Pelodiscus sinensis: one gene and its partners. The protein of the gene in region 3 purifies or fractionates together with the protein of the main gene of each other region. This does not show direct contact. Links are inferred from orthologs where the notes say so. Each region holds a gene or a part of one and is shown on either strand. Other genes may lie near its edges. The genes, in order: DTNA, SNTB1, UTRN and SNTB2.

Region 1 (7,222 bases), on a different chromosome or scaffold from region 3:
ATAAGTTGTTCCAGAACAATGTTAACTCCAAGACTGTAGTCCAGAAAACTGCTGAACATAAAACAAACTTTCTGGACAGCTGTTAGATGGCAATTCAGTAAACTTCTAAAGAAGGACATGGTGTGTTTGTAGCCTTTGTTCTTCACAACTAATTCCCTCTGACTTTCAACTGCACAAGTGTAAAAGACTAGGAAGCCAATTCCCCACGCACACCAATTTTATACAGTGTATTTCCTTTGACTTCATTGCACTAAGAGCTGATTAAGGCTCTGATTCTGGAAACAGATATATGGGTGCTGACCTTTACATACTAAAGTCAACAGAATTTTACACTTGCAAAATTGGTGCAAGGGGAAAAATCACTCTCCAGGCTTTTACAATGCATAACAAAGTCGGAGGAAAGTAGTTGGGAAGAACAAAGACCTCAAAAACAAAAAATATCACCCTTGTTTTTCTTCTAAAAAATCATTTTGCTATCTAGCAGATTCTCCAAACCTCTCTCCTATTTTTCAGCAGTTTTTGGGTTGTGAAATCAATAACATTACATATGGATATCACCAGCACATCTACCAGGGTCAGGTCTGATACTATTATAAATGAGAGCAGAATCAGGAGTATGTGTAACTTGATGTTGATTACTGTCAATATATATTATAACACACAAAAACTATACTTGGAACAGATTACACTGAGACACAATTCAGAGGACCACATACACAGTGTCTCATTCTTAATTTATGTACTCAGGAAGTGACTGAGGCATAATTACTGATGCATAATTTTGTATTTATTCCTACTCTTGATGAGTGTAGCTCCTTATTTTGGTTGTAACTAAATCTCTAACAGGTCAGTACAGAATTTTTTACTTTATCCATTACTTTTTAAAATATATGAAGTATTAATTTTTATATTTAATTGTAATCATAATAATAACCATGATTGTAAATTTTGTTCATGTGGTAAACCAGTAAACACTACCAATACATTCAACACTGATATTGGGTAAATATAAGAATTTTGCAATGGGAGCAGGATCAAGCCCCTAAGAGCTGGCAGTAGTTATCCTGGAGGGGCACAAAGCACAAGTTATGAAGTTGAATTTGAACACACACTTCTAACCTATCCTCTGTCAACAGCTCACCATTTTTTCACAGCACTATTTTTTTACACTTTTTATCACTTCTTTTGTGAACAGTGTGCTGAATGCCAAAAGTGTGACAAATCCCCATAATGTGTTTGCCCAGTGCTGTTGGTAGTACATATGTGATATATGCTGACATTCAACTGAAAGCTTAGAAAAATACTGTTGGATTCTACGGCAATGATGGAGTTAAAGTTGAAAACATTCTCCTTTTTTGTGATCATTATATAACCATCTCCAATACCAGAATAATCAGGGAAAATGGCAGTGAAGTGTTCAAAAGAGAACAGTAAGTTACACAACTTTGAGCTTGACAGGATTTAAAGTCTAGAAATAATAAGCTTATGATATTGCTTTAACACTTTCTATTTCATGAACCTCTCATATCAAAGCCTGCACATTATTTATGTTCATTTGACCACAGTACCTCTAAAAGCTTAATTTAATTTTTAGGTAATAATTATTCTATGGTATAAATGCTATTATAGTACGAACTAACTATTCTACAGTGACTAGGATATTCATTGCAAATGAAAGTTTGTGAATCAGCAAGTGGACAGGCAATTACAAATACAAATACTGTATAATGCATTATCAAGTATATTTCAAACATTTATTAGCCAGTTTTTGATTAGTTGGTGATAATCCTTCATAGCACACCTGCAAAAGTGATCTGATACATTTAGTATAAATTATAGACTCCACTCAGTTAAATTTCTAGGGAAAAACACATACAGAGCCGGTGTTTAATCAGAGCTAGATGCATCTCTCCCTCTTCCAATCGCCCAGTATGTACACACATATACAAACATATTACAACTGCCAGGGTCATCAATGGAACAGCCAGTATATTTAAAGCCCAGGGGCAGGCAACGTGCACCTTCACTATTGAAAAAAACAACCCCACATAAAAGCTGAAGTACAGTAAAAGTCATATAACATATGTCCTTAGGCCTACAAAAAATTCCTTGAGCTTCCAACCTATAAACACACATACACACTCCCTTTCTGCACATGAGTGTATAAATTGGTGATGTTTTGTAATGAAATGCATGATGCCAATAACCAGGAAGCTTTATCCAAAAGCTCTCCCACCGGGACCTCCTTAATAGCAGACACCAAGTTCTCTATCCCTTCCTCTTCCCCTGCTTACCCCCTCAAGAATTCAGTATCAGCATCCCTCCAGCTCTCTCTGTAGCAGGACAACTCAGCTTGGAAAAATGAATCCACAGCGATGAACCAATGCAAATATGAGTCACACCAAAATATATTTATATCTAAATGGGCAACAGGCTGAATAACCCTCTCTCTGCCAGCACCTCCTTCCCCTGAGCCATTTCCATTGACACCGCAGTGCATTGCAACACTAGCAGCCGCCTCTGGCTCAGAAATTTTCACTCCCCCCCCCCCCCCCACTCCTTCCAGTATTAAACACTCTTCAGGCTCTTTGCAGTGCTGGGAACCGTCCTTAATGGAGGCTTCAGCATCCTCTGTAAGCCTTTTGGCTTTTGCAAGGAAAAAGGGGTGGGGAGGGGGAGAAGTGGGACAAGATGAGTGAAGGAATGAATGAATTGCTACCTCCAGAAAGGCTCTGTGGGCTGCTGCTTGCTCCTGCTCCTGCTGCTGTTGCTGCTGCTGCTGCTGTCACAGCGGATCAGCTGATATTTACCTGTGAGGTAATGCACACTCTGTAAGGTCACCATGCACCCACTGAAATAGAGTGCAAAGCAGGAGGCAGGCAGAGAGAGGGAGCTGCTGCTGCCGCTTCCCGCTGCGAGCCGAGAGGCTGCACCGCGCGCTGGCTGCTGATGCGGCTGCAGCTCCTGGCACATGCTGCAGGTGTCAGAGCAGAAGCTGCCCTGCCTCACACGGGACCCAGCGCGCTTCTGCACATGCTCCAGCCCCCGCCGGCGCCCCCACTGCACATGCCCAGTGGGCCCCTGAAGCCGCTGCCCGGCCCTGCGCCTGGAGCCTCGCTGCGCTTTCCCCAGGACGCGCCCTGGCCATGCGCGGGGGAGCCGGGTGGGGAGCGGAGCGCAGGAAGGGGCCGGAGGGGAGGGGGCTGAGCAGGAGGGATGACGTATTGGGGGATGGAGGAGCAGGAGGGGCTGAGGCGAGGAAGAGCCGCAGATTTGGGGGTGGGGAGCAAATCGAGGGTTGCAAGGAGCGGGCCAAGCGGCCGGAGAGGAGGCAGGAGCAGAGCGGGGCAGACGCGCATCGGCGGGGCGCTCTCGCGTTCGGGGGCCGCTGGGCGGGTGGAAGGGGCTGATCAGCTGGAAGGGTGATGGGGCGCCGCTTGGCGGGGGTGGAGGGGCAGAGCAGAGGGTGGGGGGGAGGTGATGGAGGAGCAGATCAGGAGGGGGCTGCACATCCTGGGGGGGGGGGGGTTGGACTGTCCGTATCCCAGACCCAAATCTAGAGTGACATCCAATGTCACAGCGTCACGTAATGAACATCCCCGGTGCTGGAACCGGAGTTGTTCCCCTCTATTGTGCTTCATTGTTAGCCGGGCAGTGACGTCACCCTGTTTCCCTCTGCACATTCCCTCCCGAGAGAGACGCGTTTTCTTCCAAGAGCCTTGCACCCGGCCTTGTACAGCCGAATCTGTAAAGCTAGAGAATAGAGAGCCCCTCTTTTTAGTGACTGTCAGCTATTTGAGTTTTTGCCTGTTTTAGTGTTTGTTTTCAAATTTGCATGTGCTCGCCTGCTCTCTCTCTCTCGCTCTATTTAGTAATGGGTTTTCTGTTAATGTCAAAAATGTGCCACCTTGTATAAACATTCATAATTGTTTTGCTAATGAAGCACTTTGTCAGTTCCGTCCAATTATTTTTCTGCAATCTATAAACCAGTTCTGTTCTGGTGATGTGTAATATCTCTGTGTATGTTTAAATTGACAGAGAGGCTATTTTCATTACTAGTTAATAAAAATTTGAATAATCCTATTACAAACCTGCATGAACAGGATTTTTCTCATGAGAGGGAAGCCACTTAAAGTACTAGAATCTTGAAGATTTAATGTATTTTCTTTCCTGAGTGCTAATATGTCTTGAATCACATTTTTTACCTCCTAAGATCTCCACACTCAATCCTCATATAGCCTTATTATTTGAGCTATAGTGGGAAGAGATGATGTAAGCCTTAGTGCATTAAAACACAGTATGCATAGGCCCAAAGTGTCCAATTTCCCAACCTAAACTTACAGAGCTACATACAGATTTAGACCCTGCTCCAGTAGGGAGTTATGCATGTGCTTAGCTTTGTTCATATGAGCAGCTCCATTTAAGTCAATGGCACTACTCATATGAGCAAAAGTAAGCACGTGTGTAAGTGTAGGATTGCAGCCTCCAGTACACTATAAGTACCCTGATTGTCAATGCAAAGTAATGTGATTTCCTTCCCCACCCCAAATATGGCTTGTCCAACTGTTCATGACCCATTCAGCATGGACTTAATACAGCGCTTAGCAGGATAGGGTTTTCAGATGCACATCTTTCTCTTTCACACATTACCTGAAAATTAGAAACTGCTATCTTTATGGCAAATCTAATGCATATCGCTTCAGAGGGGTAGCCGAGTTAGTCTATAACAGGAAACACTTGAAAAACAAATAATCTAGTAGCACTTTAAAGACTAACAAAACATGTATGGTATCTTGAGCTTTCATGGGCACAACCCACTTCTTCAGATGACTAAAGTGTGTTGGAAGTCCAGATCCAAAAATAAATAAGGGAAGGAGGGAAGGCGGGGGAGAGAAGGAAAAAAATTGAAGGGGAAGAAAAAAAAGACAGTGAGTAGATAAGCTTCAGGGGATAGCAGAGTGAATGTGTAACAGGAAAAACTTAAAAAACAACAAACAGTCTAGTAGCATCTTAACGACTAAATAGTTACAAGAGGCTGATAAGAACCATTAGTTAGCTCTTGGAAAGGAAAATAACCAATCCCAGATTCTAAACAGACATCAAGAACCATTAGCTCCTTCATTGTTACTTTTGCAGATCCATTAATGAGTGTCCAGGAAGATTAAAGTGTTCTCCAACAGCCTTTTGTGTATTGCCTTTCAGATATCTGATTTGTGTCCATTAATTCTTTCCCGTACAGACTGTCCAGTAGGCCGATACACATTGCAGTGGGGGCATTGCTGGCATTTGATGGCATAGCTCACATTAGTGCAGGGGTTCCCAAACTTTTTGACAAGGGGACCAGTAAATCCATTCATGAGCATTTGGAGGACTGGTAACATTCATTTGCATATTTGCATATTCATTAAGCAAATGATTAATATTCAAATAAGTTGTTTCTGGTCCTCCCAAAGCCCCCAGTGCCAGCTTTAGCAAAGCTTTTGATACAGTCACCCACAGTATTCTTGCCAGCATGTTAAGGGAATATGGATGGGATAAATGGACTGTAAGATGGATAGAAAGCTGGCTAGACCAGGGTTTCCCAAACTTATTACTTTAGTTGGAACCCGTTTTTTTCAGTACTGTTTTTTGCAGCCCAAAAATATAAACGCATATAAAAAAAGAATTAAAAATGAATAAATTTTCAGTGTTTCACCCGGATGCATCCTCCACCCAGCTTGGGCCAGGTCTTGGGGGATTCAGCGCCGCATGGGCACTCCAGGAGGCGGGTGCAGGAGCAGATTGGGGGAAGGGTATCTGGCTAGGAGGGAGTGTGCAAGGAGGGGTAGGGTTGCCAGGTGTCCAGTTTTGTACCAGACAGTCCGGTATTTGAGGGTTCTATCCAGGAAACAAATTGAGAAAATACCAGACATAAAATGTCTGGTATTTTCTAATTAGGTACGTTTTATTATTATTATTAGGTGTATCAGTCGTAGCTGCGAACTGCCTGGCTGGTAAATGTGCTCACACTGCATGAGTGTGTCTACCGGCCAGGCAGTTCGCAACTACTCGAGGGAGGGTATGGGGAGGGGAATGGAATCCCCAGGGCAGGACTCACTCATGTGCCCAGGTTAGTCCTGCTTCCCGCCGGCCGATTCACTGGCCCCACTCCCTGCTTCTCCTCCCGATCTCCCCAGGTCAGTCCCACTGCCCCCATCCAGCCCTGCTTCCAGTGGCTGGTTCTCCAGTCCTCCTCCTCCCAATCTCCCCCAGCCAGTCCCCCCGGCCAGCCCTGCTTCCACTACCTGCCTGCCCCGATCTCCGCCGGACAGCCCTGCTGCCCCCAACTATGCTTCCGCCGGCCGGCTGCCCTCTCCTCCCCAATCTCCACCAGACACCCCTGCTGCCCCTAATCTTGCTTCCTGGTGGCCCATTCCCCCCCCACACACACACCTCCTTCCAGCCCATCCCGCCCCACTCCCCTCCCAGCAGCCACGCTGAGGCCCAGTATATTTGTCCCGCGGCCTGGTACTGGGCCGCCGCCCATAGTTCAGGAAACGCTGCATTAGTGAATGTGCAGTTAAACGAGCTACTGATTTGGTGGCTGATGTGGTTGGGTCCAGTGACGAAAACACTTGTGTAGATATATGGGCAGAGCTGGCACCGGGGCTGATTGCAAGGGTGGGTTCCTGGATGCTTATGATGTAGCTGTGTTGCATAGTTACCGGAAAGAATTTGTTTCAGGTTAGGGGGTTGTCATTAAGCCAGAATAGGCCTTTCCCCCAAGACCACTGAGAGTGAAGGGTCATTTTCCAGGATAAGTTGTAGATTTTTGATAATGTGTTGGAGGGGTTTAAGTTGTGGACTGTAGGTGATGACAAGTGGAATTCTGTTGTTTTCTCTTTTGGGCCTATCTTGAAGGAGTTCATGTCTGGGTACTTTTTTGGCTCTGTCAATCTGTTTTTTCCCTTCTCTAGGTGGGTATTTCAGTTTTAAGAATTCTCTATATAGATCCTGAAGGTTTTTGTCTCTGTCTGTGGAACTGGAGCAAATCCGGTTGTATCTTAGGGCTTGGCTGTATACAATAAATTGAGAAATGTGTCTGGGATGGAAGCTAGAGGCATGAAGGTAAGTGCAGTGGTTGGTTAGTTTCTGGTATATGGTGGTGGAAATTTGTCCATCATTTAATTGTACTGTAGTGTCAAGAAAGTGGATTTCTTGTGTGGACTGATCGAGGCTGAGG
Region 2 (7,519 bases), on a different chromosome or scaffold from region 3:
ATTAAGCTGGCCTAATTTACATCAGCATACAGCCACCAAGGTACATCGCTTGTGCATATCTTTACTTTGCTTCTGTATCAGCAACAGTGCCGGCCCGAGCCATTCTTGCGCCCCGGGCAGCGGGCACGTGGCGCATGTGTGGCCCTGACCATGGGCACGCAGCGCCCCTTACAACTGCAATCAGGCGCCCCCTATAGGTTGGCGCCCTGGGCAGCTGCCCGGCTAGCCCCCCCTTTTAATCCAGCTCTGATCGGCAATGTGCGTCCTCACCAGGAAGGCATATATTGATTGTCCTGGCAGGGTAGGGCATTGTGGGACATTTCCTGCAAGCCAAAAATAATTGATGTAAGCAATGCAGCATCTAAATGACACTACGTTGACCTAATTATATCAACCTTACATCTACACTGCTCCTGGAGGTGGAATTATTGAGTCAGCATTACAGGGCAGTTACATCAGTGGGAGGAAAATTTAAGAGTAGACACTTGCATAGTTAAGTCAATATTCACTTACTCTGTAGTATAGACCAAATCTTAGCCTCAGCCCACAGTCAGCTTCTCCTATGGGTTTGCCCTATGGCCCATTGCTTTGGACAGTGCCTTCTATAGTTTTCAGCTCTCTCGCTGCATAAATGGAGTTAGTTGCTCCTTCCATGAAGCCCAAAAGAAGAGTGCTTAGCATATCTATCAGTGTTCACCACTTTGGGGAATTATATAGTTTCAGTTTCAAAAGCCAGCTGAAGACAAAAGCTGATTGCTTCCCATTGCTTAAAGAAGACTTTCCCCCAGGATGGGAACCCTTTTTTGGCATTCTCCATTCCCATGGAAAAATACCAGGTTCAAAATGTATTTCAGTACCAGGTGGTATGGTCACATGTTTTTCTAGGACCAATCATCGTTTGGGCTTACAGGCCAAACAAGGCTATTCACAGGTTATGAAGTTGATTACTGAATCATTAGGTTTCCAGAGTATCAGTGATGGCTGCCTTTAACACATTTAGAACTATAAACAGATCCACACTTTGTATTTTTAACGTCACACACAAGAATGATACATGCACCACAATAGGATATATACATTCAGCAGATTGTAACATGAAAATTATTAGGTTACATGAGGTATTTTGCCTTAAGCATTTTCGAGGTATGCATATTTATACTCACAAGTCAATTCTCATAAAGCATGAGCAGGGGCATCATAAAATGATTGCTGGAGAATTTCAGCTAAAAAGTTAAGTTTCCAGCTCTCATGGCTGCAAAGAAAGCTTGTAATTGTCATGAGTGCACCCTAATGACTCAAAAGCCACAGGGCCAAGAGCAGAAGCTTGCACAGTTGGCAAGTTTTTGAACTGGAAGCTAAACATGAAATAACAGACTCATGCTGTAAGGGGCAGACAGGCATAACTGGTTCTGTCTCACAAGCTACTGTGCACTCTAGGCCCAGGCCAGTTGAAAGCCACTGGCTTAGGACTCTACAGGCACATCTACACAGCACCATTATTTTGGAATAATGTCAAGCTGGAGGCCTTCTTACTCTGATTCCTGTAACCCTCATTTTACAAGGAGTACGGAAGTCGAAAGAAGTGTGTTCTTGCTTCGACTTCCTGCTGTGTATACAGCACCAAAAGCTGAATTAAGCTATATTGACTTCAGCTATGCAATTGATGTAGCTGAAGTTGCATATCTCAATTCGATTTTTGCCGTGCTGTGTAGACATGTCGTACTGTGCTTCTTCAGCAGATACAGGGATTCAGAGCAGAGATTCTCTGACAGGAAACACTTCCTATGTGCACCTTGTCATGCAGAGTAACAGTTGGGAACATTCCTTCTAATTTGCAATAAGTGACGTTTCACTGCCCTGTACATTAGTGCAACTGTATTTCAATTTCCTCATCCCTTAAAAAGCATTTCTATTGTGCCGCTTTCTTGTGTCTATACAGCTTAGTCTATGAAAAAATAAGCTTGCATTTCAGCTATCCTGTCCTAACCAACATTGCTCCATCTACTTCCCTAGTAGTTGTTTCAACCCCTTATTATGTCTTGTAATGCTAGACTGAAAGCTCTTTGGGGGAGAGGCTGTGGCTCGCTAGGAGTCTGTCTACACAGAAAAGAAAAAATCTGCAGCTGGCCCATATCAGGGCTGTTTTGCTGCTGTGTAAACTTTGGGGATTGGTCTGGAGCCTGGTCTCTGGACTCTCCCACCTCAAATAGTTTGGATTTAAATGCAACTGGTGTCCAGAGCAGAACTCTGATAAATATTTTCAAACCCGTTGGGCTGAAGCCCTGGGTCCCAGCGTGCCCTGTGGGGCTACAGTCCTGAGCCTCAGCACCTCTGACAGGGCAAAAGCCCCAGCTCCCAGCACTGCCTATTGGGCCGAAGTCTCAAGCTTTGGTGTGCACGAAACTGAAGCCCTGAATTCTGTTGCCTCCCTTGGGGCTCGTTTCCTGTCCATGGAAGGCAACAGGGTGTGGGAGGGTGTCGATGAGGCGACTGCTGCTGACTCCTCAGCCACGCTTTCTGGCAACATCCATGCTGCACAGAGGTGGCCACCATCATCTGCATGGGTGGCAGGTGAACCCCAGGCTCAGGGAGACTTGCCCCTGCCTGTTCTGCCCAAGGTCCCACACCTTCTTTCTGAAGCCTAGCAGCCCCCCTCCCAATGCTGGCAGCCCCCCCCCAAGACCTGGGCCACTGTCCCTCACACCCAGTGAAATGGGTTGCCAGTGTAGCTCCCCACTCCAACCCCAGAGCACCAGGCAGGTGAGTAGAAGGCCATGCTCTTAAGTGTTGGATAGTGGGAGCATGCTCCACCCCCCAACATGCCAAGTGGGCAGGTGGTGCGAGGCTTTCCCCAGTCCAGTGCACAGGCCAGCCTTCATTAATCCCAACCTGGGCCCCCAGCCATAGGGGGAAAAGTTCCCCACAGCTAGGGCTGGATTAAGACCTTTAGAGACCCTAAGCACTGAAAAGATTATGGTGCCTCCCCATATGTAATTCAAAAGAAATACAATACTATACCGTACAATAAAATTTTATTTTTTGAAATGACACAAAACTTACATGTATGTTGAAATTAAAATGTCCACTTCCATACACAATAGGGAAAGTGAATCAAGTCTGTCCTGACACATTGTTGTTCTCTGAGGGTTTTTTATTCTTTTCAGCTGAGAAAAAGAGCGTTCTGTGGAGTTCTGATTTTTCCCATGAGGACTACTTCGATGCTTTTTTTGAAATATCAACTTTAAAAAAAAATCTCATTTTTTTTGGTGCCCCTGCTTTGCTGGTGCCTAAACAAGTGCTTTGTCTGACTATTGGGTAATCCAGCTCTCCCCACAGCAGTGAGAAGTGACAAGGGGCCTGGGTGCAGAACATGTCCAGGGCCTCACAAGGCTATTTGGGGAGGCTCCACCTTTCCCTGCCTTCAGTACCTACCACATATAATCAGATGGTAAAAGAAGTAGCTGTGTCTTGTTCCCCCCCCTTTATATTGTCCCTTTCCCAGTATCAGGAGGTGTGAATTGTGTATTGCTGTTACCACTCAAGAAAGAGATATTGGAGTCTCTGTGGATAGTTCTCTGAAAACCTCCACTCGGTATGCAGCCGAAGTAAACACTCCCCCCCCCCCCAAAAAAACCTAGCAAATATTAGGAACCATCAGGAAAGGTATAGATAATAAGAAAATATATGATACCACTGTATAAATACCTGGTATTCCCACACCTGGAATGCTGTTTAAAAAAAGATAGAATTGGAAAAGTACAGAGAGGCAACAAACATGATTAGGGGAATGAAGCAACTTCCCTATGATGAGAGAGTAAAAAGACAGGGATGGTTCAGCTTTGAAAAGAGACAATTACATGGATATAGGATTGAGGGAGAAAATTGTGAATGGTGTGGAGAAAGTAAATAAGGCAGCGCTGTTGATTCCTTCATTCAAGAACCAATAGTCACACAATGAATTTAACAGACAACAAGTTTAAAACAGACAAAAGAAAGTTGTTCTTCACACAATATAAAGTCACTCTGTGGAACTTGTTGCCAGGGGGATGCTGCAAAAGCTCAGAGTATAAATGCATTAAGAAACGTATTAAATAAATCCATGAAGGACAGCTCCATCGACAGCAGATGCAACCCCATGCTCTGGGTGTCCCTCTGCTGCCAGAAGCCGGGACTGGATAAGAGGGGATAGATGACTCCATAATTACCCTGTTCTGCACATTTCCTCTTTAGCATCTTGCAAAATTTGCTACCAACAGACGAGCTACGGCGCCAAATGACCCCAGATCTGGTCTGACCCAGTGCGACCATTATGTTCATGTTCTGTCCCAGGCTATGCTCTGTTAGTGGTTAGTAACACTGGCTCAGCTGGAGTGAATGCAAAGGGAAAGCGAGGCAAAGTGGAGAGACGGGAAGAGGGGAAGGGGCTTCCCAGACCTGGGGCGGTGAGTGGGGAGACTGCCCCCAGGAAGACATGGAAAGTAACTCGCTGGGAGAATGGGGCTGAGCGCGCCGCTGGGCAGACCGGAGCTAGCGCTGGGTCAGGGAAGAGACGCGTCTGCGCGTGCTGCCGCGGGGCGAGGAGGCCAGGGTTCGCTGGGGTGCGGAGCGGACGAGCTGCCCCCCAGGCGCTCCCTGCTGTGCGCGTTTCTCTCCTCGGGGCCGGGAGGGGGGAGCAGCGGGCGCTGACGGGCCGGGCAGCAGGTGGGCGAGCGCCCTGCCCGGCTTGGGGCGCGCCCGGGGCTGCGCTGCCAGGGCCCCCCCCCTCCACGTGCCGCCCCGCAGCAGGTGAGCGGAGGTGGCGCCTGCGAGGCAGCCGCCTGGCCGGGCGCTGGGCGAGCCGCGGGCTTTGCTCCGCCCCCGGCCGGCGGGCGCGGCTGGCGGCGCTCGGGGCGCTCCCGGGGCGCAGCCCTGTCCTGTGCGCGGCTGGCGGGCTGGCGGCCGGGCGGTGCAATCACATGGTGCGCTAAGAATGCTCCAAAGATGGCGGGAGCGGCAGCGGCGGCCGGCGGCCGGGCGCAGCAGCGGAGCGGCTGGCTGGAAGTCCTGGTGCGGGACCGCTGGCACAAAGTCCTGGCCAACTTGGGCGAGGATGCGCTGGTGCTGAGCTGCGAGGAGCGCGCCGACGGCGCAGCCCACAACGGCGTCGGGGCCAGCGGCAACGGGGTGCCCTGCCGGGGGGCGGCCGCCGCCAGCCCCGAGCCGCCCGGCGGCGGCGGCAGCCCCAAGGCGGGGGGTGGCCCCGGGGTGCGCACCGCCTTCACCGAGCTCCCCGAGCAAGTGCCCGACGCCATCTCCAACAAGAAGCGGTGCGTGAAGGTGCTGAAGCAGGAGCTGGGCGGGCTGGGCATCAGCATCAAGGGGGGCAAGGAGAACAAGATGCCCATCCTCATCAGCAAGATCTTCAAGGGGCTGGCGGCCGACCAGACCCAGGCCCTCTACGTGGGAGATGCCATCCTGGCCGTGAACGGGACGGACCTGCGGGACGCCACCCACGACGAGGCGGTGCAGGCGCTCAAGCGGGCGGGCAAGGAGGTGCTGCTGGAAGGTAAGGGGTTAAAAGGAGCCCGGCGGCTGTCCCTCTGCCCCAGGCCTTGCACACTGGGCAGTGGGTGATGAGCAGGGGGAAAGACACAGGACTCCTGTGTGTCCCAACCACTCCCCTGCCCCTGTTAAAAACTCTCAGGGGGTAGTTTTGTGAGTCTGCAACTTTAAAAAACAAGTGATCCTGTAGCACCTGAGAGACTAACAAATATATCGAGAGAGTATCATGAGCTTTGAGACGCTGGCAGGGCAGGGTGGATCCTGCTGTCCATGGGACAGCAGTAGGTAAGGGGTTTTCACCCCTGCAAAGTTGGGCCTTCTTGCTACCTGTTCTCTGGCGTGTTTATTGAGGGGGCAGAGGGAGTATATCCTCCCTAGAGTGCCCAGATCACAAACGCCAGGGCTGTGCGTGTCTGTGACTTGGAAGTAAAGAGTTAATTTGGTTTTACAAGCAGCGCTAAGATCCTTAGGCGTCCTGCTCAACTCGGAGCTTGTGAGAGGGGACAGCTTCCCCAAACAGATCGGATGGTAGGTTAGCGGAGAGATCCCCGCCTATGGCTAGGGAAAGCTAGGGGTTAATTTGACTAAAGAAACTCCGGGAACCCCAGCGCCAAGCTAAGGGCTTTGCAAGTTTCACTATGTGTATGTTAAAAAAAATAAAAAAAGGGAGGAAGAGGAAAGCCAGGTCACAAACTACAGTACAATGCAAACCTGAACGGGACATAAAGAAACTACCTGCACTTCCCTGGGCACAAGGTTGAGAGATTTTAAACTCTTGTCAAGGGGGAGGGAAAAAAAGTGACAGAACTGCCTGAACTACTGAGATCGTCCACATTTTGACATTTGGTAGTGTGTTAAGTGACAATTATCTGCAGGATCTCCAGCCTGGGGCTTTGCAGCCCTTTCTGCAAAGAGACATAGTTAGCAAACCCTTCCTAAACAGCTCCGATAATCCAAGACAGTGTTTGTCATGTTGTGTTTGACTAACAAAGGCACAAAAAAAGCAGACTTCAAATCCAGAAGGCAGAGAGAGAGTTTGACTATTACTTTTGCTCTGCAAAAAGGCAAGAGAAACAAGCAGATCACATCACATAGGGCTATGGCAACTCTGTGATTTGAAATGACTGAAATTTACACATACACACCCTTCTTAGTTCATCCCAGGAGAGAAGGGGAACAGATGTGATAGAAATTGGCAAATATCTCATTGAAACGTTTGTAGGGGAAAAAACCACAGACTGCGGTGAGATGATCTTTTAGAAGCCACCTTAAAAATGGAATGCAAAAGAAGCGAGTCTTTGAGGGTTTTGGCACAGACTGTATGAAAAAAGAGCAAAAAAGAAGAGAGAATAAGTTAAAGACCGGAAAGAAAGTTCCATTGATCTCAAGATTTTTGGGGGGAGGGTAGTTGAAGAGTCTTTTCCAGGCGAGTTAATTTAGTTGCTAGACCTGAGAAAAGGATCAGCAGAAACAAATATGCCTATTGCGTGTTAAACAGAAAATGCCCTTGGTATGCATGTGTGTGTTTGATAAAGTGCCTATTTGTACATAAGTTCATTTAACCAGCAGTTCTTGACCTTTGAGTCATTAACATTTGTGGAGCGAGGTGGTGAACCTGCTGCTATTCCATGTCTCCTATCTTAGTTTGAAATGGATTTGTTCAGTCATTTGCAGCCTGTTCGTCCTCTGGTTCTACTAAACAACAGCACAGTTTCTGATTTGCCTCTCTTGAGTCACTGAAAAATGGTAACACTTCTTGGAGGAGCTGTGGGAGCCAGTGCTAAGAATTATGGGATGCATTTGTGGATCAGTTGTAAATACCTGAATATAGGCTTGCGATATGGAAAGGGGATGAGAATCCTTGGTTTAAAACCTTATAGCGTCTGTGGGGTGAAACACAAGGCATTTCAGATTACTCTGGCTGTGAAAGTGAGGAGCTGATCAACTTTGCATCTTATAACAAGGGGACCTTGTCACC
Region 3 (7,010 bases):
CCGCTGCCCGCGTGTTCCTCCGCTTTGCTGCTCTCGGGCTCCGTGGCTTTGCTCTGCTTTGCTCCCCGTCCCCCTGGTCTGCAGACCAGGGGGACGGGGAGCAAAGCAGAGCAAAGCCACGGAGCCCGAGAGCAGCAAGACAGCCACGGCGCGTCTGGGCTGTCCCGCTGCCCCCGTGCTCCGTGGCTTTGCTCCGGACACCTGTGGTACAGCAGCTGGGGCGCTGCCAGTTGGTCCTGTAGCACCGCTCTGGGCGCTACTGGACCAACCGGGCAGCACCCCAGCTGTTCTGCCCCAGGCGTCCTGATTCAGCCACTGCTGGTCAGATTCAGCAGTGGCTGAATCAGGACGCCTGGGGCAGAGCAGCTTGGGTGCTGCTGGGTTGGTCCAGTATCGCCGAGGAGCGGCGGCGCTACTGGACCAACCCAGCAGCACCCCAGCTGCTCTGCCCCAGGCGTCCCCAAGTCAGCTGCTGCTGAAACTGAGCAGTGGCTGACTACAGGAAGCCCCTGCCCCGGGCTTCCTGTAATCAGCCGCTGATCAGTTTCAGCAGCAGCTGACTTGGGGATGCCTGGGGTTCTTAAGTTGAATCTGTATGTAAGTCAGAACTGGCGTCCAGATTCAGCCTCTGTTGAAACTGATCAGTTTCAGCAGCGGCTGAATCTGGACGCCAGTTCCGACTTACATACAGATTCAACTTAAGAACAAACCTACAGTCCCTATCTTGTACGTAACCCGGGGACTGCCTGTATGTGTCTTCTATTTCAAAAGGCCCAAAATATGGCTTCTCTTAATGTCATTAGTCAGGAATACTTTTCAAAAAGACTGAACGGAAGTGTGAAGATTCTTAAAGTTAATATTTGTAATCTATAATTGCCTCTTATTTTGCAAAATGAGTCAGTCAGTTGACTAACTGTTAATGCACAGTTATATCGATGCTGTTATTAATGAAACTGAGTCAGTCAGAGTAAGCATGCTTTTATTAGAGCTCCATGGGTTTTAAAAATGTTTGATACCATCTTCTCTTTTCTTTGGGAAGAAATTGATCTGGAAATTGAATCTGGAAAGGAGTGTTGGTATTTGTGTGCCTTCAAAGCCGTGCTGCCCACCCTTATTACCCAGGAGGGCCACGTACACCTAAGAACAACATTGTATGGACTACAAAGATTCTACCTATTTTAATAAGATTTAAAGTCACCTGTAGTGATTTATATTTTAAGTTCAGCTTGTTTTGATGGAATTAAGATTGACTATTCTGTACATAGAAATAACCTATTTAGTGTGTATACGTACGTGTGTGTGCGTGTGTGTGTGTTAGTATTTAATGTGCCACAGTACTCCTTGTTTTTGCAGATACAGAGTAACATTACCATCCCTCTGAGAATAGTCAGTTTATTCACTTGTGGAAACTAAAATGATGTAAACATGACAATCCTAATATAACAACTGTTAGGCTGCAGACCTTTTGTTTTGCTCTGGACAAAGTATGACCTGTGGGCTCTAGGTTGGGCACCTTTGCCTTAGAATAAGAGGATGCAGTTTTGACAGGTTGTGCCCTTTTAATATGCTACTTGCTGTACTGAAATACCACTGAGCCTGCTTGTTGTGCCAGCAGGAGCACCCTTTTACCCTGTCCTGCTGAGATTGGCTGTTGAGCCTCCTGTAGCGCGTCATATCCAATTGGTCCATATTGCTCATTTCAGATGCAGGAGTGATGCAGGCATACAAATTGGATAATCACGTAAAGTAAATCATAGTCTTTCTAATGATGTATTACACTTTTCTCATGTATCTCAGTTATGTCACATCCATATCATAAGCATATTTCCATTAAGAATATGGAGTGCGTCACAACAGTACGCTTTTTTAAAACAACACTTCTTTTTTGGTCTCCCTTCTGTTTCCTGTGAGCCAAGCTCGTAGAAGTAGACTCTATTGTCTAAGCGTGGAGTGGAGGTATTCTAAAGGAAAATAATCCTCCTCAAATGTGCCTCGACTATATTCCTATCCAAATTATTTATTAAAGGTGGTCTGCTTTGGGCTGGGCTGAGTCTGGCCTTGTTTGAACTAGAGATGTGAAAGTTTATTTAACAGGTGATGTTTACTTGTTCCAGTTAACCAGTGGGAGCTGAAACAGCCCCTTGCCCACCATGGCCCTCCACTTCTTATACCCTCACTCTACTGTAGTTCCAGCTGGTCTCTGGCCTTTTTTAATCTTGTGGGTATGATAAGAAAACTAGGCAGGCAGCCAGTGACTGTTGGGCTATAATAGAGCCAGCGGTATGTACAAAATTTGATTACTGCTGTCAACACCAGAATGAATAAAAGAGAGTGCATACCCGAGACAGATAGTTGCTAAATAAACGGTCTATTGAATTCAGCAGTAGTAGGAATGAGACCATTTTATTAGAATGAATGAAGTAATTTGTAGCTAGAATGCATGTGTTGAACACTTAGGATTTTGTTTTTAAACAATCTCCTTGCTCTAGTATTAACACTATTTCCCCAAAACTCAGCATGTCCATCCCTTGGTTACCAGCTCTTGCAGTTGATGTGTGTTTCCCGTCCAGTATGTTTTATTTTGGCAGAAGTCTTGCTTTTTTTTTTTTTTTTTTTAATTTCAAATTATTTTAATGCTTTATTGTTCCTGTAACCTACTGATTCTATAAGTGAGTCCTTTGCAAATCACATCTATTATGATTTAGTTTTACGTCAGTGAGTGTCTTCTTACTTGGATTTCAATTTAGGGACTGAATTTGAAAAACATTTAATTGTCCATAGCTTGATGCATAGGAGCTGATTGGTCCTACTCCTGTGTGTAATTGCTAGCATAGCAGTAATGGACCATGCATTTTAAGTAGTTTTTCTTCTAATAAAATTGATCAAGATGAGAGATTTTTTTTTTTTTTTTTTTATGGCAAACAATATATTTTGGCAAAATCTTTTGGGAGAGGCTAATCAATCTTATGTATTAATAAATAAAACTACTACATTGCTGTGTTGGCATCATTCCTAAAATATGCTTAGATGCAAGTACCTAGAACAGTGGTATCGAACATGCTAGCCACTGGTGACTATTTGGCCAGTTGAACGTGGCGAGTTCAGAACTGGTTGGACACTACTGACCTAGAGTAAGTTTCATGGCATCTGTTTTGCATCACTTTATCTTTTCTGTACAGAACTCTCCCTTTGGCTTATATTATACTCTTTTGTAATAGATTTAAATCTCATATTAGATCACTTGTTACCTTAAAAATATATTTCATAATGATGCAACTTTTAATTAGCTAATTAAAGCATTCAGAGCTGTGTTTTGCTTGTTGATTTCAGAAAAGGGGGACAGAGTTGTGGGCCATATACTTCTTGAAGGGATACTCTGGGATTTGTACCCTGGGTGTGTACAAATACGATTTTTAAACCTATTGTTACGGTGCTAATATTACTCCACATTATTAAAAACACACAGTACTATTCTTGCGTATGTCTGTCTTGGCATTTGTACATCTTGAAGATTTCAACTTTTGTTTACACCTATATTATAGAGCTGATTTTTCACATCTGTTTCATTATAGATCTTTAATTAAAAGTACTGGAAGACGTATGCCTAAATTCCTCGCACTGCTTTGAAATAACTGGTACATCTGGTACTTGCTTTATAGGAATGGTGAAGTTTAGATAATCTGCTATAAAGAATTAAGCAAAAGGTTATGTCAGTGATAGGCATTATTTTATTATCATTACAGCTATTTGGAAATTAAATGCAAGAGAATATTTGTAGAGCCTTTAAAGAATGTTACATGAAATATCTGCTGCCTCAAACAGCATAGGAGAATTGTCATGGAGTCTTTGCTATTTTCATTATGTAGAATTTTGACTTGCTTCTGCTTTGAAAGCAGAAAGGCAAAGTTTATACAAACACTGTATTGATGATAGATTGTTACGCGGGGGGGGGGCACCTTTTAATTAGTTCAAGTTGTTTGCATACATACTTGAATGTAAAAGCTTGTGTGTTTCCTGAGTGGTTCACATTGTGGTTGAGATTTGAGTCCAGTTCTTTCATAGGAAAAAAAATGATCTTCTCTACCGCCCCCCTAAAAATCCCAGCATGCAGTTCTCATGCTGTTATTAGTGTGCACTTCCTCTGCATTTTCACTTTTCCTGTTTTTAAACACTGAGCTTGATCATGAGCAGTCAGACAACCAAAAAAGTTCTGTGGAAAAAGTATAAGTTTGATTTTCTTTGGCATACAGATATTCCGGCTCGTTCTCTTCCACCAGGTGAGAGCATATTTCAGTCTCAAATATATTTTACAAGAGTAGAGATACATTTACTTTTTTTGTATCTTTTGCTAGCCATTTTTTAAAATTAACACAGTTTTAAGTTTGCGTAGTCTAGTACCATAAAGGCATGGCAGGAAACAGTGCAAGGGAAGGATAGTTTACAATTTGCTATTTGTGGCATAGCTTCACTGCAAGTACTATATGAATTGTGGCTGGTTAACATTTGCTTGTTAGGCCATTCAGTCATATAACACCTTTCACCAATGATTTTTTTTTAATCTGAAGTGTTAGCTTACTTGGTGAAGAAAGTTATTAAAATTGTTTCTATTTTTTCACTGACTGGTGTCCCTGAAAATACATTTTAAAGTATGAAAAATGAATATAGACAAGATCGGAAAGACTTGCTGACATTTGCTTTTAGCTGAGAGAAACACTAGATCTTTTTGATTTGATTATCTAATTGAACATCTATAATAAAGTTCTGCTTACTGTGATTTGAGTATTAGATATACAGTCTTCCTTTTAAGATCTCAGCACAGTTGCTGACATGATTTTTTTTTTTTTTAAAACCAAAGTTGAAAAAAGACTCCTTTACTGTTTTGAGACACATGAAGGAGATTTTCTGTAACAGAAAATAACTCAGATGGGATTTTGGGAGACAGTAAACTGGGGGTACGTTCTTTTTCTGTTTGAAACCTCTTTAGGAATTTTAAAATTCCAGACCTGTGAAATATGGGACCAGGACTAAAAAAAACTAGACCAGGAGAGCAGGAACAGATTACTCCCATATTTGTGAATTCCAGTTTCTTATATAGTACTTGGACTATGGAAGAGCATTGGCTCTGAGACCATTATTGCCTCGTGATGATTACCTCTTAATGTAATTTGGCGCACATCCATTGACGTCAAATCCGCCAAATAGCAGAGAGTTTGACTCATTTACTTTGTGTGGACTCAATTTTTTGCTGCTGGATTGTGAAGTTTTACGTAAACCAATGTTCCTGTGCTATTTTAGAAGAACAGCCCTCAATTTCAAGTAGAATATAGCACTGGGATGAGATTCTGATTATGCTTACTTTTACATAAATTTCCCTGGTCTGGCAAATTCCTTTGTTTGGGTTCAGTTAGGTCCCAAGTGTTGCAGACCCAGGAGGTCCAACCTATAGGAGTTGGTTTTGGACATCATAATACACTGCAGGGAGAGGAAGGATTCCTTTTTGGTATGGAGATTGTATTTTAGACTGGGAACTCTCACAAAATTAGCATTTGGGGTTCAGGAGTGGGTGAGGCTTCCAACTAGGGGCATGGGTTCTGTGGTAGGGCCGAAAATCAGGCGTTCAGAGTGCAGGAGGGGCTCTTGGCTAGGGCAGGGGCCAAGGAAGTGGAAGAGAGAGCAAGCTGTGACTGGGGGTGCAGGCTTTGGGGTGGGAATGAGAGATTTGAAGTGTAGTAGGGTGCTCTGCATAGGGGTCAGAGGGTGAGAGAGGGATCAGGCCTCGGGCAGGGGTTTGGGGCATGAGGGCAGAGCTTAAGGGGTACAGGCTATGGGCGGCACTCACCTCACACAGATCCTGGAAGCAGCGCCATGCTTCCAGGAGGCACGTGGAGTAGGGATGTCAAATCTCGGTTAATTGAGTAGTCGATTAACCTTATGAATTCTTACCGGTTAGTCAATTCTTTAGTCCCCGGGCAACCCCTGTCTGGGGGAGAGGAGTCTGAACTGGACTGGGCATGAGCCGTAACTGAGCCAGGCTGCCTGATTGGCTCCTAACACACTTTAAATGCAGAGTCGCAGGGAGGTAGGGCTGGGACTGAGCCAGGCTGCTGGCCAGTCTACTAAAAAATTTACTGGCAAGGGGTGGAGGAGAAATGCATATAGTCTACAGCAGTGTTTCTCAACTTTTTTTTATTTAAATAAAGTACCCCCTTAAAAAAAAAAATTCCCCCCCTTAAAAAAAAAATTACCCCCAGTACCTACAGTTTTCAGACACACAACATTTTTTTTCTACCATTGCAACACATTTGTTTGAACAACTTAATCGTAGCCGGGCGGGCAATGAAACTTTGGGGTATAAAAAGTACAAAAATAATAAAGCGCTGTAAAACTTAAAATAAAAATTCAGTTTTCTCCAAATTTCAGTTGTTGATGTACCCCCCAGACTTCTCTCGAGTACCTCTAAGGGTACGCATACCACTGGTTGTGAAACGCTGGTCTATAGCATTAATCTACAACCTTTTGCTGATCGGTTAATTGACTACGATATTGTATCCGTAGTGCGGAGACATAGCAAGCGTGTAGTGGCCTGGTCTCCGATTGTGCTCTCAGCTTCTTGTGGACTATAGTTTGCTAACCCCTGCTCTACAGGTTTGTCTAACAATATTCTACTGACTTTGGAGAGATGGGATGCACTTTTGAATCTTACTAAAGTGGACGAGAAATACAAATAAAATGGCAAACAGAGGTAGGTCATTTCTAAAGGTCAAAGCTCTTGATTAGGGGGGTATGAAAGGTTAACAGGTGGGGGCTGGAGCAACAGGCAGAGGCTGGGCTGGAGCGTATCCCTCCTCCCCCATTGCATTTAACTGGTTAACCAATTAAATGGGATTTACATCTCTGTTCTCGATCTGCCAGAGCTAGAAAAAACACGGTTGATCAGAAGGAACATTTTGAACACTGCCTTTCTACATCTTGAATGAAAAGCTGTTTTTGAAGACTCTTTCGTATGTGCT
Region 4 (7,950 bases), on a different chromosome or scaffold from region 3:
AGTTTGGCACCTAAGCGCCACAGACACTCTGCACTATTGCTGCTGGGGACGCCGGTAGTAATAAACCTCGGCTGTGCTGTGGACTCTCCCTCTGCCTTCCTACAGCCCCGACGGCTCTAGGGCTGGGTCCCAGAGAAGGGATGTGGGATGGGCGCCTGCCCCTTGGGGCTTCTCGCCGCCGCAGAGGCTGGCCTGGCCCCAGGGCCCGTTCCTGGAGGGTTACAGCAACGTGGCCCCTTCTCGCTCAGGGCAGGCCCCAGGCTTGCAGTCAGTACGGCCTTCGTTGCGCCGGATGCTGGCGGCTCTCCCTGCCGCGCGGCTGGTCCTGAGGCCGGACAGGAACGCTTCTCGCCCCCATCGCTCGCGGGGCCTGGGAGCCCGGCTCTGTGCGGATGTCACGGGAGAGGCAATCCCTGTGCCAAAGCCCTGCAGCCTAACTGGGGGATGGAACCCCCTTTGACACCTCAGCCCGTGTTCGACCTGGCCACCCGCCCCTCGGTGGCTTGCTGCTGGGCTGCCCGCTGGGAGAATGGGGGGGGGGGCTGCCCGCTGGGAGAATGGGGGGGGGGCTGCCCGTTGGCTTCTGCCAGATGTGGTCAGTTCTCACCCAGATTCATACCAACAAACAGCCACTTTGGCCACTGCCAAAACCCTGCGTCCAGCCAGATTTCATGCTCCGCTCTTTGTGTGTAAACAGCAACTAGCTCGAGGGGGATCGGTAGCCGGCCACACCGGATTTCTTTTAGCTGGTACCTGTGTACAGTAGGCCTGCACCAGGGTGAGTTGAAACTAGAAGGGTGAGTTGAAACTTGCCAGCTGTCTACACCGGCTGCTTGAATTTCCACAAGAACACTGACTTCCTACTGTCTGAAATCAGTGCTTCTTGCGGAAATACTATGCTGCTTCCGTTCGGGCAAAAGCCCTCTTGCGCAAATCATTTGCTCAAGAGGGCCACTGTAGACAGCACAGGACTGTTTTCCGCAAAAAAGCCCCAATGGCGAAAATGGCGATCGGGGCTTTTTTGCGCAAAACCGCGTCTAGATTGGCACGGACACTTTTCCGCAAAAAGTGCTTGTGCGGAAAAGCATCCGTGCCAATCTAGACGCTCTTTTCTGCAAATGCTTTTAACGGAAAACTTTTCCGTTCAAAGCATTTGCGGAAAATCATGCCAATCGAGACGTAGCCGAAATGTTAAATCCCGTTTAATTAGTTAACCGGTTAAACATAATGTTTGACCGGTTAAGCAATTGATCGGGGGCGGGGGAAAGCATGTCCAGCCCTGGTGCCTCCCCTCGCCCACTGGAGCCAGGCTGGACCAGCCCCTACTGGTTAAGCATGACCAGTAAGCAGCACCTGGTATGGGTAATGTTTACCAGTTAACCTTTCCTGCCCCTAGTTGAAAGGCAGTTCCTGGTGCATGTTACTGGTTTGGTGGCCCTTTTACAGAAAGCAGATGCTTGATTTCACTGCTTATGCCATGATTCAAATCCCGAAGGTGCCCAGCCAGGCATGGGGACCCAGCTTCAAAACGTAGAACCTGCATGTGCAAAGGGCCCAGCTGGCCGCTTGCGTGTGCAGTCCCAGCGTGCCCCATGCGTGGGCATGCGTCTAAATCCGAGCCCAAGCATCGCTGCAGGCAGTTACAGGAACACCGAGGGGCTTGTCTAAGCCAAGCTGAGCGAACCGTTCCAGCCCGGCTTGTGAGTGTGTGGAGTAGATGTTGGTGCTGCGCACGCAGGCAGTGACTTGTGTGCATGCTGTAGCCACCTGCTTTCACCGCCTGCCTGCTGCTGGCCTTTCCTGACAGCCCCTGCAGCCTGTACCCCCATGACCCTTCTCCTCCAGGCCCCCTTTCTCTTCCCGCTCCATGTTGGATGCCCTTGTTCTACTCCCACAGTTCTGAATCTGCGTTTGCCGCGTGCGCTGGGCCTTACAGTGTGGTGTGAGCACCCCGCTTCCATGACCACGCGGCCTGCCCCCCTCTGCCATCAGTTAGCCCCACTTGCTTCTTGCTGCCTTCCTGTGCCGGCTCCAGAAGATACTCCTGTGGACAAGCAGTGGTCGGGAGCAGTCTGAGAGCTGCTGCTCTGTGTTTTCTTAGCCTTTACCAGTGATACTTTGAACTGTGGTGCACAACCAGGCTTTCTGGCTCCGAGGACCCTGCAGCTTGCTTTGCAGGCCCCTCTAACGCTGCGCCAGCAGGGGGCACCGTTCCCTTAGCTGTTAGGTGGTTACGGCTCATGGAAACAGGGAGACTCAGTTGATCTCCCCATAAGATTTACTGGGCCCTGCCTTAGCGCAGGAACTGGCCTAGGTGACCATTCCAGGGCCCTCCCAGCCCTGTGTTTGTCATTCGAAGCTGCTGCAAAATTGATTGTGAATGTTTCTGAACTGAAACCACAGGCTTGAAAGCGGTGCAGGGCTGCGGGGGCGGCTCCCTCTAGGCTGTCAGCTTGTTACAGCTTGGTCCGTGTTAGCAGGAAAGGAAGTTAATTCACAAAACGTGAAGAACGGGGGTGTGCTCAGACTTGCAAAACCTCAATCACTGAGCTGGGGTTTTCCTGCTGATCCCTGGAGGGAGACCACTGGCTGTAGCTGGGGAGTGATCTGTGGGCTGCATGACTGCTCCCCCCATGGGGATACTTCTCCAGTCTGCATCTATGTGGTTGCGCCCATCACGTTCGGCTATTCTGCCATTTCCATTCAGCTCCTGTTCAGAGGCTCGTTTTGGCTGTTGTAATCCCCCTCCTGCTGAAATCCTGTGGCATGTCACCTTCTAACAAAGCACCGGGCTGTCCCTTATACTTGTGATTCCTATGCAGCCCTCTTGGTACTGCTGTCACAAAGGCCAACCCCTGGATCAAGTTACAGCATCATCGCCTGGAGGAGAAGGCTGAGAGCTCTCAATCAGAACTAATTCACCAGGTCGCGGTGAATAGCAACTCAGCAGATTTCAGCAGCTCCGGTGAAATTAAGCAACATTTCAGTTGCTCTGCAGTTCCCATTTCAAGGCAAAAGCTCACGTGCGGGGAGAGCATTTATACTAAATGGTGAATCAGATCAGGCCTCTGTCCCATCCTGCTTGGGAGCAGAAAACCCCAGTGCAAAGAATTGTTCTGGAGTGTAGGTTGTTCTATGGAGAAGAGCAGCCCCCTTCCCCCCCCATCCTTGTGCTGTGGGCTGCTACCCCTTAGCATCATTTATACATCTGAGCAGCAGGAAACCTCCCATTACCAAAGTGCAGTTGGTGTTTTTTGATCACAGCGATTGTGTTAACAATTAGATTCCCCCTGTGCTGCTGGTAGTTCTGGAATAGGCAACCTCATTCTTAGGGGGGAGGGATAACTGGTTTGAATGTTGGCCTGCTAAACCCAGCATTGTGAGCTCAATCCTTGAGGAAGCCATTTAGCGATCTGGGGCAAAATCTGTCAGGGATGGTATTTGGTCCTGCTGTGAAGGCAGGGGACTGGACTTGATGACCTTTCAGGGTCCCATCCAGTTCTAGGAAATAGGCATCTCCATGCATTTCACTTTTACATTCTTAGAACTTGTCTCTGGTCATTCCAAAGCCCTTGTCAAACTACCTAGTTACATATGATACCTGGTCTTATAGTCTTCCCAAATCCCAGTAAGTTACATTGCACTGATTGTGGCTGTTTGTTGTGTATTATATTTAGTAGAGGTCTGACGTGCAACACACTGGCTTGTGCACATAAAACTTGCAGCTGCTGCTGTTTGAGCAGTAGACAGAGCTAGAACACGGGGGTGGGGGGAAATGTAGTTTAATCTTGATATGTGACTTCTTGAACTGAGTTTTTCCTAATATTTTAGCCAATTGATTTCTAAAGCAAAAATGTCTGTCCTGCCTCACGCTGCTCTAATTCACAATTCCCTTTCATTTTCATGAATGAGAAAGGGGTGTCAACTTCGTGTGGTTATTGCTGCCTGAACCACCTGCCCCCAACCCTGTGCTCACAGGGTGCTAGGCAAAGGGCTGGCAGGCGTTGGTTGTACTTCCCCTCTCAGTAGGTGTTGTGGGGAGTCTGAGATCATTGGTGGGTACATCTGCTTGAGTTAAAAATAGGGCTCTGAGGGATCAGTAGCCAAGGCCCAGCCTCAGGCAGGAATTCAGCAAGCTCCGGGCTGGTGGGGCTGTACTAATCTCAAGCGGGCCTGTAACCGAATTTCTGCCTTAAGATTGGATGTGCTGCCGCCCGCTGTCTAGCCCTGGCTCTGCTCCCCTTGTTCAGGGCTGCAGCGGGGAACGGGGAGATCAGGCTACCTTTTTCCTGGAGCAAGAAAGTGAAGCAAAGGCAGGGGATCTGGAAAGCTGGGTGTTGGTGTTCCCCACGGGGCTTTGCCTTCACTAGTCCTGCAGCAGGGGAGGACCTAGGGATGTACTCGCCTCCCTCCTTTCCCTGTTATTAATACAGTTTAGCCTTGGATGGAACTGTTCCCAAACCATGCCCCAGCTTTGGGCTTTTTCTACACTGCCACCCGCCACAGTGCCCCAAGGACAATAGTATTTTTCAGACAGACCATCCCCGGCTCTGGACCCAGTCGGGTTTGGTTCTTACTGCCTTGGCTGGGGCTGGATTGGCTGGTTGAGGGCACAGCTGGCGGGGCTGAGCTAGGGCACCGGAGGGGCCCCTGGTGCTAGGGTGCTGCTGGCCCAAGCTCTGTGCAGACCCCTTTGGACGGAGTGTGTGTGTGTGTGGGGGGGGGGGGGGTGTCTATGGCTCTCAACCCCCTTGGCCTTGGGAAAGAGGGCGGAGCCGCAGAAGCCCCGCCCACTCCGTGGGAGGAGCTCGAGGCGTAAGCCCCGCCCCTCGCCGCCCGTCCCGGGGGGGGTGCGTCCCTGCGCTGCGGCGGGGGCGGGGCTCCGCCCCGAGGCCCCGCCCCTCTGGCCGCCGGCCGCCAATCGCGCGCGGGACGGAGGCCGGGCGGGCGCACTCGCCCGCGGCCGGGGCGGCGCCCGCCTCTGCTGAGCGGGCCGGCGCGCGGCGGGCGGGCGGGCGGTTGGCGGCATGGCGGTGTGGACGCGCGCCGCCAAGGCGGGGCTGCTGGAGCTGCTGCTGCGGGAGCGCTGGGTGCGGGTGGCGGCCGAGCTGAGCGGCGAGGCGCTGAGCCTCACCTCGGAGCCGCCGCCGCCCGAGCCCCCCAACGGGCTGCCCAACGGCGCCGGCAGCCCCGAGCCGCCCGCGGCCGAGCCGGCGCCGCCGGGCGTGCGGCGGGTGCGGGTGGTGAAGGCCGAGGCGGGCGGGCTGGGCATCAGCATCAAGGGCGGGCGCGAGAACCGCATGCCCGTGCTCATCTCCCGCATCTTCCCGGGGCTGGCGGCCGAGCGCTGCGGCGCGCTGCGCCTGGGGGACGCCATCCTCTCGGTCAACGGCACCGACCTGCGCGACGCCACCCACGACCAGGCCGTGCAGGCGCTCAAGCGCGCCGGCCGCGAGGTGCTGCTGGAAGGTACCGCGGGGGGGCGTGTCTCTCGGGGCCCCCCCGCGACCCGGCCCCCCCCCAGCCCCGGACACCGGCTCCCCGTGGGCGGGAGGGGCGTGTCTCTCAGGGCCCCCCCCCCCCCGAGCCCCGGACACCGGCTCCCCGTGGGCGGGAGGGGCGTGTCTCTCAGGGCCCCCCCGCGACCCGGCCCCTCCCCCCAGCCCCGGACACCGGCTCCCCGCGAGCGGGGGAGGCGTGTCTCTCAGGGCCCCCCCCCCCCCCCCGAGCCCTGGACACCAGCTCCCCGCGGGCGGGGGAGGCGTGTCTCTCAGGGCCCCCCCCCCCGAGCCCTGGACACCAGCTCCCCGCGGGCGGGGGAGGCGTGTCTCTCAGGGCCCCCCCCCCCCGAGCCCTGGACACCAGCTCCCCGCGGGCGGGGGAGGCGTGTCTCTCAGGGCCCCCCCCCCCGAGCCCTGGACACCAGCTCCCCGCGGGCGGGGGAGGCGTGTCTCTCAGGGCCCCCCGCGCGACCCGGGCTCCCCCCCTCCGAGCCCCGGACACTGGCTCCCCGCGGGCGGCCCCGCACCACGGGGGTGTCCCCGTGCGGGCGCCGAGAGCCGGGCGCAGAGAGCTTGAGAAAGGAGAGTGATAGAGACGCAGCCGGGTTAGGCTGGTCGGGCTGAACAGCACAGGACTAGGCAGGTTTATTAGGTGACGAGCTCGCCTGGGCCAGACCCACTGCCTCAGATCAAATAGTGGAAGAAAACTGGCACGATATGCCACTGTTTGAGCTTTCGTGGGCCAGACCCACTTTCTCACATCATCGCCTAATAAACCATCTTGTTCATCTTTAAAGTGCTGCATGGTCCTGGTTTTGAGAGCGGAGAGTGGCCCTCCTCTTCCAGTCTGTCCTCTCTGAGCAGCCGGCGGGCGTGATGGGCATTAACTCAACTCTCTGAGCTGCCCGCTGTTAGAGGGGACATGTCCTGACTCAAGCCCGCATCCTGCGTGAGAACTTGTCCCCTCGCGCTTGAAGATCTGTATTGACGTGTGCTTGTGTTCTCACAGTAGTGGGTGGGAGTCCATGCCTAGATTTGTCTGTTGTTTTGGGAAAATTCATGACCTGTAACTCGGGGCCACAAGCTGCCAGTGAAGATGTAATCTGGCTCCTCCCTTCCTTTCTTAGGGGAATCGTTCACTGCCTGGCTCACAGGCTAGCAGCAACATCTGCTGGCTGCAAAAAGCCCTCACCCATGGTGCAATTCTGATTCTCAGGTCTCTTGTTGTGGCTTTTCCTCCAGTAGAGATGCTGCTGCTGCTGCTCTGCAGTTGCTGAGTGAGGCAACATGTGCAATTGAGCAGATAAGGTAGTATTTGTGGTTAGAAGCCCCATAGCTGTAACTGAGAATGCGGTTGTACGGTCTTGTCCACTGGTGCTTGAGCAGTACCATTTGTGATCGATGTGCTCCAATGCTACTAAAACAGACTGAATCTAAATGCTGGGCTGCAAAGCAACAGGCCAAAGTTTTCTGTTTACGTGGAGGTGGAAGCTCTTTAAAACAGTCTTCGCTTAAAATAGAGGCCCATGTGGATTAGGGATGTAAGCCGAGTAGTCAACTACCCGATAAATTTAGGCTTATCGGGTAGTCATGGTGCTACTTGCTTCCCCTTCCCCTCTGTATCAGAGGCAGCAAGGGAGGAAGAAGCATGAGCCTGACTCCTACTACATTTAAACTGCAGACCCACGGGGGGAGGGTACTGAGCACCCCCCCATCGACTAATTAAGTAGTCGATGGAAATTCTATCAACTTATCAATTAGATAATTAACCGCTACTTAACATCCCTGGATATGTTGGTTTTGTGGGAATAATCTTTTCCCTAAAGCAGAATCATTGCTGGTCTAAAATGTTCATGAAGAAAAGCAAGTTGCAGTATTAAGTGATGGATTTGTATTTGTGTCTGTAAAGTAACTGGCATCAAACTGCTGATTGCTTGAATGGGAGAGGCGGGCATTCTGCAAAGAGCATTGAGCTCTGGGGCTCACGACTTTGGACTGTTGGTTGGAAGGAATGGTCTGAAAGAAGCTGGGATAGCTTCACGGGAAAGTACTTGAACTCAGCTATGAACTTTCTGGCTCTGACAATGCTTATTTGTCAACTTGTTTTATGAAAATTCTTGCAAAGTCTATTCATGCTGTTGCAAAGATGGTGCTGAGAGAGGTGCTGGAGATTGGAGGCCTATTGAGAGGGTGTTAAGAGGAATTTAGCTATAGAAATGTGAAATACGTAGCAAACTTTCTGGGTGTCTGGCTGATGAGTCTTGCCCACATGCTCAGGGTTTAGCTGATCGCCATATTTGGGGTCGGGAAGGAATTTTCCTCCAGGGTAGATTGGCAGAGACCCTGGAGGTTTTTTGCCTTCCTCTGTAGCATGGGGCACAGATCACAGCTGGAGGATTCTCTGCATCTTGGGGCCTTCAAAGTATTTGAAGGCTTCAATATCTGAGAC

Evidence for each region.
Region 1: the proteins of UTRN (region 3) and DTNA purify together in Homo sapiens (affinity purification with mass spectrometry; 3 studies listed by BioGRID and IntAct, with this or other methods). This does not show direct contact. The link is inferred for Pelodiscus sinensis from reciprocal best matches to the Homo sapiens genes UTRN and DTNA.
Region 2: the proteins of UTRN (region 3) and SNTB1 purify together in Homo sapiens (affinity purification with mass spectrometry; 3 studies listed by BioGRID and IntAct, with this or other methods). This does not show direct contact. The link is inferred for Pelodiscus sinensis from reciprocal best matches to the Homo sapiens genes UTRN and SNTB1.
Region 4: the proteins of UTRN (region 3) and SNTB2 purify together in Homo sapiens (affinity purification with mass spectrometry; 4 studies listed by BioGRID and IntAct, with this or other methods). This does not show direct contact. The link is inferred for Pelodiscus sinensis from reciprocal best matches to the Homo sapiens genes UTRN and SNTB2.

Annotation. Positions count from the first base shown.
Region 1 is NC_134712.1:70,973,007-70,980,228, forward strand, and holds the start of DTNA (dystrobrevin alpha), read right to left. Parts: upstream 3,002-7,222; 5' UTR 2,974-3,001; coding exon 2,720-2,973; intron 1-2,719. UniProt on the Homo sapiens protein: May be involved in the formation and stability of synapses as well as being involved in the clustering of nicotinic acetylcholine receptors.
Region 2 is NC_134712.1:21,362,381-21,369,899, forward strand, and holds the start of SNTB1 (beta-1-syntrophin), read left to right. Parts: upstream 1-4,512; 5' UTR 4,513-4,980; coding exon 4,981-5,545; intron 5,546-7,519. UniProt on the Homo sapiens protein: Adapter protein that binds to and probably organizes the subcellular localization of a variety of membrane proteins. May link various receptors to the actin cytoskeleton and the dystrophin glycoprotein complex.
Region 3 is NC_134713.1:102,214,345-102,221,354, forward strand, and holds the start of UTRN (utrophin), read left to right. Parts: upstream 1-4,008; 5' UTR 4,009-4,183; coding exon 4,184-4,277; intron 4,278-7,010.
Region 4 is NC_134722.1:1,963,388-1,971,337, reverse strand, and holds the start of SNTB2 (beta-2-syntrophin), read left to right. Parts: upstream 1-4,949; 5' UTR 4,950-5,027; coding exon 5,028-5,469; intron 5,470-7,950. Other genes in the region: UTP4 (U3 small nucleolar RNA-associated protein 4 homolog), read left to right, coding at 1-14. UniProt on the Homo sapiens protein: Adapter protein that binds to and probably organizes the subcellular localization of a variety of membrane proteins. May link various receptors to the actin cytoskeleton and the dystrophin glycoprotein complex.